Drosophila melanogaster: one gene and its partner. Changing the gene in region 1 together with any one later gene gives a genetic interaction. Each region holds a gene or a part of one and is shown on either strand. Other genes may lie near its edges.

Region 1 (6,517 bases):
CTGTAAGTCTTCGACCAATTTCCAAATACCTATAACTATTTACGTTTATACCTTACAGTCTGCGAAAGTCCACGTGGGATCGCCTGCAAGTCTTTTCCGGCGGCGTACTCACGGAAATCATCGATCGACTATCCAAGCAGGATGCTCTCTATCCCCTGATTACGGATAAGCATAAAAAAGGAGTGGAGCGACGACTTCTGGTGGTCTATGCTGTTGTGGAGCACTGCATGGACATCGAGGGCGACAAAATGTTCAAAACTCTGTAGTTTCAGCTCAAGATTGGGGCTAATGGCCAGCACTAGAGCTTTAGGAACTCACTTTCCACATCCTACTTAAGCTAAAGTTAGATAGAGAAATTATCGTATTATTTTAGTCCATGTTTTACTTCTGTATTTCTTCCAAATATTTAAATGCCCGAAACAGGTTTTTTCCTATTTTAAATTAAGTTCTTTTGTCCTTTCTTGTATTGGTTTGAATGCTAGAAAAGTTTTCGAAAAATTGAGATGCCATCCAATTAGGAATTAAATCATACAAAATTCGTTGTGACGAAATAAGTTTGAAATTTAAACCTATTACCATGACATTTCCCACGTCCCAATTATTATTTGGTTTTCCCATATTTTTTCAATGACCATCTCTTAAAACTGTTCTTAAATATTGAACTACAAACCGATCCATAACAACATATCCGATAGTCTAGTTTAATGAATAGTTACGGTTGTTATTTAATAGGTAATATTTTAGAAAATTGCAAAGCTCAGAAAAAATAGTTTTGTAACTTGAAAAGAATTTATAAACAATCAAAAATAAACACTTGTTTATTTCTTCATCAGTTTCATCAATCAGTTTTCGTGTTGCTCGCATTCTTACTATTGAATTCACATATATACCAGTTATGTATATTTTACAGACTTCGTCACGATTGCAGTTCATTTTTTGCCCTCTTTTCTTACATTACTAAATGTAAAAAGCTTGTTGAACTGCTTGTTGTTCCGATTGTTGGGACGGTTCTAAAAAAAAAAACAAGCGTTATAAATGTTTAGTGAAGAGATCGTTTCAGTAAAAGCTAAGCCAGCTTGTTAATACTTTTCATAGCACTCACCTTGCCGCGAATTTGCTGCTTGATTTCTGTGCCCCGGGCTCTTTGCGCTCCTCCCTTGAATTGCCGGAAGTCCACGTTCTTGTAGTCAAAGTTGCCTGTACCCTTGTGCTGCGGAACCTGCTGACTGGAGCTCTGCGGGTGGTTTCCTCGATTCTTGGCCTTGAATCCGCGCTGGAACTGATTTTTCTTTTGCTTGCGGTTGTTCTGTGCCGGTGATGGTTTCGGTGGCTCTGTGGCTTGCCTTTCGATAGGAACCTCAACGACCTCATCATCGCTTTCGCCTAAAGCCTGCTGAACTTTTTCGACTGGTTCGATCTTTACCGGCGGTTTGGTTTGTGAATTCTCGTCCTTGCGAGGTCGCTTGCTAGCAGTCGGCTGCTGTTCCGGATCTGTTTTCACGTTCGCTTGTGGGTGCTTGCGCTTCAGTTGTTCCTTCAGCGGGACGGAGTACATGTCATCATCCTCCTTTCCGATGGCGTGTGCCTCCAGCTTAATGTTTTGCTCCACAGTTGGGGCTGCTGGACACAATTGCCTCTTTTGCAACTCACTTCGCTCCCTGGCCAACTGATCGGCCTTCAGCTGCACCATCAGAGGTAGGATGGCGAGATAGCGTTTGTAGGGCATACGCATTGTCTGGCTCTCCTTGCGAAGATGGGCCCAGCGCTGTTCCTCTTCTTGTGTCGGCTTGGACTGCTTTTCGAACAGAGCCATGGCTGGTGCCGCTAAGGTTGGATCTACTTTGGCAACCTCCTCCTTATTGGGCACCTCCAGTTTTCCTGTAGTTGAATTACGTTTCAACAGCGTTGGCAGGTCGTCGCGAATCTCCTCCAGTTGCGAAAAATCGTGCGGACAGTAGAGCTTGCTGCTAAAGTCTTTGGTCGACGGAGGCAACGCTGCCTGTGTACTACTGTGGGCTTCCAGGATCGGCTAAAATCGTAAGTAAAGTCAAGAACATTAAACATTAGATATACCACCCCAACACTTGGTAACATTAAACCTATTTTAGTTGACCTGCGGTTGTGAAATGAATTGAACTATAAGGTGAATTCAGAACATGTTCTTCATTTCAATGTTAGTTACAGTTAATTGGTAATGAAAAATTATCGGTATAGGCGCCAACGTTGATCGAGTTGCAAGCGCTGCTTGAAACCGCCAAGAAACTCACTTTGACCAGCGGCTGATCGCGCGCCTTGAGGACAATCTGGTGAAGCGTGTGCAGCTGTTGGCGCACCAGCGGCGGAATGGGATTGCAGCAGGCGAGGATTCCCTGCATCTCCCTTGGAAGACTCTCAGCGATTTGCAGCATCATGTGATTGGGCAGCACATAGCCGTAACTCTCGTCCTCTGACCGCGCCGTCGCATCGCGCCACTCGAAGATTCCGCGAAGTGCGTACAGTTGCCGGTTGTCGAAAGAGCGCTTCGTTTTTCTTACTAAATCCAAATGGGATTCTGGTCCGATGTGAGGCTTATTATAACGCTTCTTGCAGACATCCGTGCTCTGTTGATAGACACTGCCCAGCAGACCTGGTTCGGCATGCTGCTGCAGCAGATCGTTTGTCATCCGTCCGTAAACGTATATCAAAAAGTGGGTATCCTGACGAGCGTAGTCCACCAGCTGCTGGGGAAGCGGTCTCATCCGCCAATCGGCCAGTTGCAGGCTCTTGTCCACATCCAAGTCCAGATAGTGCTTAAGCAAATATGCCAACGATAACCTTGCCATATTCAAGGCTTTGGCAGCCCGATGCGTGTCGAACATGTTGACGATATACAACGATAAGTCCCGCTGAAGCCACTCAATATCCAAATCGGCGCCGTGCAGTATCTTCAGCTTCTTGGGATCGGTGAGTACCAAATTTAGTATATGCATATCATCGCGTAGGATCAGGGTATCAAAAATATAGTCTTTGCTGCGAGTAGACATCTGGACCAGGCAAGTGATGCCCATGAAGGTGCGATACGAGTGGTGCTCCACATCTATGGCGATCTGGGGCGCTTGTCTCAGTTCCTCCAATGCCTGCTTCAGTTTTTCCACCGTGTCAACCACCATTAGTTCGGTTTCTGCCATCAGAGCTGGAAGCACTGGCTTTTGTTTTTGGAACTGCTCCTCCGGAGGCTGAAACTTAAGCAGCTCAAACTCGTAGGGATGCAAATAGGATTGGACATTGCCGGCATCATCGTATTCGGGCAGCAGGGCCAGCGGTTTAAGAGAATTAGGTTTCTCCTTGAGTCTTGGAACAAACGGATTCTGGGCACTGTTATCCACCGGCTCCCTAAATTGCGTCTGCGGCCGAACGATGTTCTTGGCGGTGAAGAGACGAGCCGAAACCATGCTGCGTTGGGGTGTTCCTGTCGTTCTGTTCCAGCTGCCTGCCTTTGGAGTCCCTTGGGTTTGTGGGGAAGCTACTGCGGGCTCTATGGATGTGGAGCTGCTCATCACGTCCACCTGGGCCTCTACGACCTGTTGTGTATTTCTTCGCAGACCACCTTTAATGTCTAGATTAGTCGTAATGCGCTCGAACAGTACGTCGTTGCACTCCTGCACCATCTCAAACTGCTCTTCCGGTTGGCGTCTGTTTAAAGAATAAAGATCTATTGTTATTTACAGATACAGGTACCAACTTTGATTTCAATGGCTGTGCTGTATTTTCAACATTTCGAATAATGTCATGGTTAGAAGCTTACTTTTTGATGTCGCCCTTGATGTCCTTGGAGTGCAGCACGTTCCCGATGAGCGCCACCACCCGTTGGGTCAGGTCTTCCATAACACGTGCGTAGCCTGGATAGCTTAGGTAAAGGGCGCGGGCTGTTCCTTGTGGGAAAGCATTAGCGGCTTTTGTGGCGGCGATTGCATTCTTGAACCCTTTCTGGAATGTCAGAGCAGAACACGTAGGGATTGGATTGAAATATACTTATGTACGCTGGCTGAATTGCTACCCACGTTTGTGAATGCCTCAACATCTTCTGAAGCGGATTTCTTTGGCGGCTGGTCTGCTTGGGCCGATTCCTCTTTGGCCTCCTGGTGAACTCTTTTCGGGGTTCGCGGCATGTCTGTATAGTGTTTCCTTGTCGAATGTCTTGTGTTATTTTCGTACAAATTTTTTGTCGTTTTACAGATTGTGGAAAATGTGCGTGTTTTCTCTTCTTCTTTTTTGAGAATAACAACAGCTTGAATTTGGAGTTTGTCAACACTACCGGCGGCGAAATTTGATCACTATATAGCACTAAAACGGTGCTGACCGCAATCGAATTAAATCGATATGAAGGTGTATTTTACAAATGTTAGCCAAATTTGGAATGGTGATATTTCGTTATGTTAAACCGTAAACAGAACCTGCTTTGATGAACAATACTTTACAAATTCTTTTTAAAAGCAAAATGTTATTATTATATTGAACTAAATATATATTCCTTTCAATATAAATTAAACTGAATAAATATTTTCTTTGTTAAATATTTGGTCTTTTCTTTTATTTTTTCAAGAGGGCGCTAAATTGTTCAAGTGAAACCCTGAACAAAATTTTCAGCCAGCTGATTGCCAGTGTGTACACCCCTCCGGCGCCGGCGAAAAGCGAGGAGCTTGACCGAGAAGCATCAACTCCATCCAGAAGAAGTGGAGTTACGTGCTAAAAAAAAAGTAATTATAAAGCCTAAGTTTAGTCCAATTAGGAGGTAAAACACGCACAAGATGCTGGACCTATACAGACGCACGGTGGCGCGGTTTCCTCTGGGCAGTGTCAGCTATATGTTCGCCTACGGATCCGGCGTCAAACAGCAGGAAGGCTATGGAAAAGTCGGCAATGGAAACAACCTGCGTCCTCCGCCGGGAACCGTTGTGGATCTGGTCTTTTGCGTTCGTGATGCTAGGGGCTTCCATGCGGAGAACCTGCACCGTCATCCGGACCACTATTCCGCCCTTAGGCACCTGGGACCGAACTTTGTGGCCAAGTATCAGGAGCGTTTGGGTGCGGGTGTCTATTGCAACACGTTGGTGCCTCTGCCAGATGTGGGCATTACCATAAAGTACGGCGTGGTGTCGCAGGAGGAGCTGCTGGAGGATCTGCTTGACTGGCGGCATCTTTACTTGGCAGGAAGGCTGCACAAACCAGTGACGAATCTGGTCAATCCTTCTGATAATCCTCCCCTCAAGGCTGCGCTGGAGAGGAATCTTGTATCCGCGCTGCAAGTGGCTCTGCTACTTTTACCAGAGAAGTTCACTGCCTACGGACTTTTCCACACCATCGCCGGACTGAGTTACAAGGGCGATTTCCGTATGATTTTCGGGGAAAACAAACAGAAAGTGCACAACATAGTTAGTCCGCAAATCAATGACTTCTTCGCCCTATACCAACCCTCCCTGGGACAACTTTCCGACTATGTGGCGGTAAACATGAAGGGCCAGGAACCAGGGAGCCGGAAACCAGCCATAATCTTCGAGCAGGACAAATCCTCATCGGCTACATGCCAACACCTGCGACAGTTGCCCCGAGAGCTTCAGAAGCGATTGCAGCGAAATGCCGCCTGTCGTGGCGACTACACCCAGGTGGTGAATCACCTATCCATGGCCTCCCAGCTTCCGGAGGTGCTGCAGGCATCCGTCAACGACATTGTGTGGCGCAGCAGTGTCACGCAATCGATCAAAAATATTCCCAGTGCTGGCATTCTCAAGTCATTGGCGTATAGCTATCGCAAGGCTCAAAAGACATTCGCTGTTTAGGTTTATTTTTCGGGTTAATCCCCTGGCTGCCAATCATTCTACCGACTAAGTTGTCCCATCCAGCTGCATTTTGTTAAATACTTTTAAGCTTTAAAGTTGTTAACTGCAATATAATGTTTAGCCCAATCCAAAGACCTGAGTTTTCTTGGGGATTCTCTCTTTTCACATCCAATGGACCTCTTTATAACCTCAGGAATATCTTGGTTTACTTATTATTTCATTAATTGTATTTGCAGATCATGTCCAGCGACGACAATAGTAGTGATAGCAATTCGTCCAGCGATGAAAGGCAAAGGAAACGGAAGCTTAAGAAGCACAGCAAAGATGTGGACAAGTCCAAAAAGAAGAAGTCGAAAAAGCACAAGAAAGAAAAGCGTCGCCACAAGGAGAAGAAACGCAGCAAGCATGAGGAGGAGCCACCTGTGCCTTACACGCAACCTCCACATTTAATTAATGCATCTCCGCCAGATGTGGCTACAAACAACGAAGATTCCTTTGGTCCCGCTTTACCGCCGCATTTAAGGAAGACCCAGCAGCCGGAACTCCCTGAGCAAAGCCAACCAGCCCCACAACCGCAGGCCATGATAGGACCCGTCCTGCCCAGCAATTTGACCCGGGAAAAGTCTCCTACTAAGGAAGCGGAAGCTGAGGACGATGATGACCTAGCTGGCACCTTTGGTCCTCTGCCAAATGCCAGTCAA
Region 2 (5,107 bases), on another chromosome or scaffold:
CGGCTTGCGCCACGGTTCGCCCTTGTACTTGGCGATCATCTCCATATGGTTGTTCATATAGTAGTGGGCTCCGCCAGCCTTGTTCTCCGGTCGTTTCTTCCGCGATGGATTGTAGTAGATGCTGTTCGTGCGGCTGGCGGGCGTGGTCGTTGATTGTGGCGGGTTGTTGCTGGTGTCGCTCATACTAGTGGCTGGACCAGTCGTGGTCGCAGCTGTGCTTGACGCTGTCGTCGCCGGACTATTTGTACCGGTACCTCCTGCTCCTGTTGACGTTCCCGTTCCTGCTCCGGGTCCGTTGGTTGAACTGCTATTGGCGGGTGAGTTATTGTCCCGATTCGTGGTGGAATCTGCCGACGAGCTAGTGCTGCCGCCGCTTGTGGTATTGATGTTGGTGCTGTTGCGCTGAGTGGTCCCGTTGAGCTGCTGCTGTTGTTGTTGCTGCTGCAGGATCTCCAGGGAATCCGCTCGGAAATTGAGCACCCGATTTAGCGAGCTGTAGGGTCGCGATAAGTAGGGTTTGGCCGATGAATTGTTACCAGTGTTATTGGTCGTGTTGGTGATAGTGTTATTGATGATGTTATTGTTGTTGTTGTTGTTGTTGTTACCACTATTGCTGCTGCTGCTGCTGCTGCTCGTGCTCCCGTTGATCGTCGTCGCCTGCTGTAGCTGTTGATTAAGCAATGCGCCCATCTCTTGGGCATTCGTCTCCCAAATCTTTAACCATGTGCACAGCGATGGTCCCTCCTGTTCCTTCTGAAACCAGCCAACAAATGGATCCATTCAAGACGGGTTCACACGGCTGTTGGCTGGGCGGGAAACGAGGGGGGCGCGCGTCTCTCCTTCGCTTCGTCCTTTCACCTCTATCCTCTGCGTCCTGGTGGTCTGAATATATAGACGTGACTCTATATAGATCCGATGTGATCTTTGTGCTCCACAGGGAAAAATTAATTAAAGTCGCTGCCGGGACTAAACCTCTTTGAATGCTGTCAGCATTCAAGTGCTGTAAAGAGTGTCACGAAAAATGTTAATTAGTTACCGGAGTAGGAGTTATGCGTATCCTATTCTACTACCTCTACATACGTTTAACGGTTCAAAACAATAGAATTCTCAGTTATGATCACAATATTACACTAAAGTCATTGCCATTTTAATTTCGGTATATTCTGGTATAGTAGGTAGACTTGTCAATCTTATTTGTTAACAATTAATGTGAAACAAGGCAGAACACCTAATTTGATTAATATTATTAACTTATCACTCAATAAATATGCCAATGTTCGCAGTTTTGCGAAGAGAGAGAGATTGGCTTATATTAGGAAAGTTCTGGAAGAACAAATACCCTCCATTTGTTCACTAAGTACAACCATATACATTTCGATATAATCTACAGCAGTTGTATTTCGAGGCTTTAACCAGTTTGGGACTCATTGTTTATAATAATCCTAAGTCAACTTCAAGTAATTTGATAAATCAAATAAATACTGATATCAAAATACTGTTATTGATGTACAGGTTTTAGGTTAACTCGGGGAGATAAATAAACAAAGGAATGGGGTTGAGATTGAAGGAAAGGAAACAATAGTAACAGTAGTTGTTGGTGCTGCTCTTGTTATTTTTGCTCTTTAAAAGGGGTTTGCATGCATTTTACACAAAATGGAAAGCGTAAATGGCAAACTATTACAAATTATGCGCTCTTTTTCTACAAATAGAAATGCCCCGCTCTCTCACACATCCCCTCCCTCCCACCACTTTCAAGCGAGCGCTCTTATTCACTCCTTTTTGCAAACCAATTGCAGCTGAAGCGTTTAAAGGCGCCAGTCGAAAATTGTTTTTCAGAGCGCGAAAAATCACACATACACACACGCGCTAGAAAAAAAAAAAACAAAAATGGGCCACAACAAAAAGGTTTTTCACATACGAAAAGCAAATCAAAATGCAATAAAAACAACAAGCAATTCGAAAAAAAAAAACAGAAGGAAAAACAGCTCACGAGACTCCGAGACCCGCAAATAAATGACTTCCCAAGTGATATTATATCTCGCACCAATACACTGATAGCTACTCTAGTTTTGTGCAGCGTGCGTGTGACTCTGTTGGGTGTGTGCGTTTGTGTGTGAGTGTGCAAGGGCGTACAGGTGGCCGTAGTATGGGGGTGGGAGTGGGAGCGGGACAGCACACATGCACATGTACCGAAAGGCGGCTTCGATTATGCAAAAAAAATATAATACAATAAGAAAAAAGGGAGAAGAAAGATGGGCAGAGAAACCGCTAAATGCGCACACACCTACACCTAATGCATATTTTACCCGATACGATTTTCATTTGCTGGCTGAATTTTCGGTAAAAAAAAACTTAGTTGCATTTGACAGAGGAAAACTCCCGTACACCCACACACATTTACAGCAGGCCATCGCGCACATGTACTTGTACATTTTAGGCAAATTAACACTTTCTTAATGTTCGCCAGTGTTGGCTAACGACCCAAGGAGAGCAAGTGAGAGAGCGGGGCGAAGTGATATTGAAGAAAGGCAGAAAGAGAGAGCGATTTATTGTTTTAACCGGCAAAAAACATACAGAGGCTGAAATTAGTCGGAGTAATTAATTGCAGTGGATATCGATAGACGGGCCTCGGTGTTGCCACCTGGCTTCGAAGGGCTCTCTCTCTTTACAGCACTGTCCGGGGCAAATGTAAACATTTAATTTATGCAACCGCTGCAGTAATTAAGCGAAAATCAATTAAGCAGACTACTCCAAACGCACGCCCGCTCTCATCCTCGTATTCTATCACACGCACACACATGCGTATCGAACTGCTCTTCACATGATTTCTCGCGTAATTCAGTTGGAATTTTTCACACACAATTCGTTTCTTCTTTTTTTTTAGCCGTTTTACCTTGACAAGTTTTGGTTCTCGTTGCGATTGCGTTGTATTTCAAGTTTATCACACATACATATACTCACACCTACACACGCAGCAAAACGTGAACAAAATACACATGTTGGTTATAAAAAATAAGCCAAGTTATATTATGCCAGTTGTATTATTGTGCAGCACAAAACCCGCCCAAAAATTAATGGAAAATTACAGTTGTTGTCGGTCGGCGTCGCTGCTGCTTCTTCCGTTCTTTCTTACTGTCTCACTCTCCCTTCTCACATATCCTTATAAGCACTAACAATTTCTGCTTCTCGCTCACTTTCGTTGCGCTGCCGATGGAGCTCTCTCTTTCACTCCTTGCTGCCTCTATGCCTTTTATGCACTCCCCACACACCCGCACACAGAGTGACATTTGAAGCACATACAGACGCACACGACTGGTTCTTTCGAGAATCGAACATTACCGAATTTATCAAATTGCGCTTCGCAATTGTGCATTTCCTGTGCAGATCGCAGGCCTCAATCGCGGCACGATTGTTTTTCGCCCTTTAGCAACGTTCCCTGTCAATTTCTGTGGATTTATATTGCAATTTGCGTGCGAACACGCGACCGTTTCGCGATAGAGCTGGTTCACGAATCGATTGATGAGCGATGTTATCGATAGACCTGATAAGCGAGAGGTGGATGTGCTCGCTAGATTCGCCAAGGTTGATGACTCCGCTAAGTGAATGGTCCTATTACAAAATATCGATGACATCCAAATTGCTTGTTAAATATAGTTTCAAATTTAACTGTAACATAAAAAAAATGTATTAAATCAATTTTAAAAAAACCCAACTTAGCATTTGTTATTTGGGGAAAGTCCATGCTATTCCCACCTACTCAACTGACAGGACGCATCACCAACTAAATTCGTTAAAAACATTGTGATTATTATAAACAATTAGTATTATTTATCCTGTGGCTTATGCGATTGGTTGTCATGCGATATTCTGGCTTTCACCATGTTCTCTGTACTACTGTACAGTTCCGCCGCTAATCAGACGTCGTCATCACTGATTCACCAGTTACTCATATGTGATGAGCAAGAGGGAGTTTTTGCCCGTGCCCTTACTTTCCCATTCGTCGCCTAGCGAAGGCAATGATGAAACAGCGAGGAATTCCATTTGGAGCTTAACTGTGTAGCGAAGCGAATCGCTTCCATTAGGGACTTTCCTCAATTCATAAACTAAATATACATATGTATTCACTTTAATGCTAAAAATTAACGAAGCAATGCCTGAAATCAAGAGACTTTGCCTCGCCACCGAGAATAGTCATATCGCAGCCAATGCCATGCTGCTAACAAAGATAGATGGTATGTTTGTGACATACATATCTTATAACACCGGATCATATTACATTACCTAACCCACTTAGAACTCAATTCCCAAGTCCTGTCGCAGCGCGCAGAAATCGAAAACTTGACGAGGGCGGTTAAGACACTTACGGAATTCGTTAAGCAGTCGATGAAAACGACCAAGCCGAAGGCGAAGGGAAATCCGGACGATGATTTTCCAATTATGTATGAGGAGGATCTGGTCGAAGTGAATCACAAGATAAGCCAGGACTCCAGGGGGATCTATGTAAGTTTCTCCTTCCTCATGCTTTTCCATCAATAGAATATTATATAGTTGTACTTATATGATCCCTGATCAGACGAATTCCATGCGGAAATTCCTGCGCCAGGGAAGATTAAGCCGCACCATAAGACTCATTTTCTCCGAGGACATCCTTCTGAACTACAATATTGATGGGAATCAGAAAAAGAAAAGACTAAAAGATCACGAACATCTGTTTCGTTCGCTTATGAGTAAGTTTAGTGCTCGACATCCAACTTTTAGTGATCCATTCAATAATTATCCCCAACTACAGACGCCATCGGTCAGGTGGAACCGACGCTACCCTCGGAAAAAGTCTTATTCAAAGCCATGAGATGCGTTAAGAATTGCGCAGCCAAAAAGAAGGGCAAGGTAGATGATGACCCCTTGTCCGTTTTGAGCGTGGAGAAATCATAACTGTGCCCATGTGAGATGACATAGTAGAAACAAGGATTTAAATATAAGTAATGATTTACGGGCGAATCAATCCGAATTGAGGATGAATACCCAAATAGTGGTTGATGGATCATCATCACTTTGTTGAGAAGTTATCACTTCATGGAGAAGAGCGAGAGCAAAACAAAAGACGAAA

What was found.
Region 2: of Rrp6 (region 1) and Trf4-1, changing one suppresses a phenotype caused by changing the other (phenotypic suppression), as found in Drosophila melanogaster (one study listed by BioGRID).

The regions. Positions count from the first base shown.
Region 1 is NT_033777.3:14,881,795-14,888,311, forward strand, and holds Rrp6 (Rrp6), read right to left. Parts: upstream 4,453-6,517; 5' UTR 4,149-4,452; coding exon 4,041-4,148; intron 3,967-4,040; coding exon 3,785-3,966; intron 3,673-3,784; coding exon 2,268-3,672; intron 2,030-2,267; coding exon 1,103-2,029; intron 1,011-1,102; coding exon 930-1,010; 3' UTR 704-929; downstream 1-703. Other genes in the region: CG3631 (uncharacterized protein), read left to right, coding at 1-2, 59-266; CG33331 (uncharacterized protein), read left to right, coding at 4,788-5,816; CG33332 (uncharacterized protein), read left to right, coding at 6,056-6,517. UniProt on the Drosophila melanogaster protein: Catalytic component of the RNA exosome complex which has 3'->5' exoribonuclease activity and participates in a multitude of cellular RNA processing and degradation events.
Region 2 is NC_004354.4:8,559,046-8,564,152, reverse strand, and holds the start of Trf4-1 (topoisomerase related function 4-1), read right to left. Parts: upstream 3,259-5,107; 5' UTR 2,894-3,258; intron 2,459-2,893; exon of another isoform or gene 2,392-2,458; intron 1,001-2,391; 5' UTR 781-1,000; coding exon 1-780. Other genes in the region: CG12112 (uncharacterized protein), read left to right, coding at 4,130-4,232, 4,295-4,500, 4,574-4,727, 4,790-4,932. UniProt on the Drosophila melanogaster protein: Involved in a post-transcriptional quality control mechanism limiting inappropriate expression of genetic information. Polyadenylation is required for the degradative activity of the exosome on several of its nuclear RNA substrates.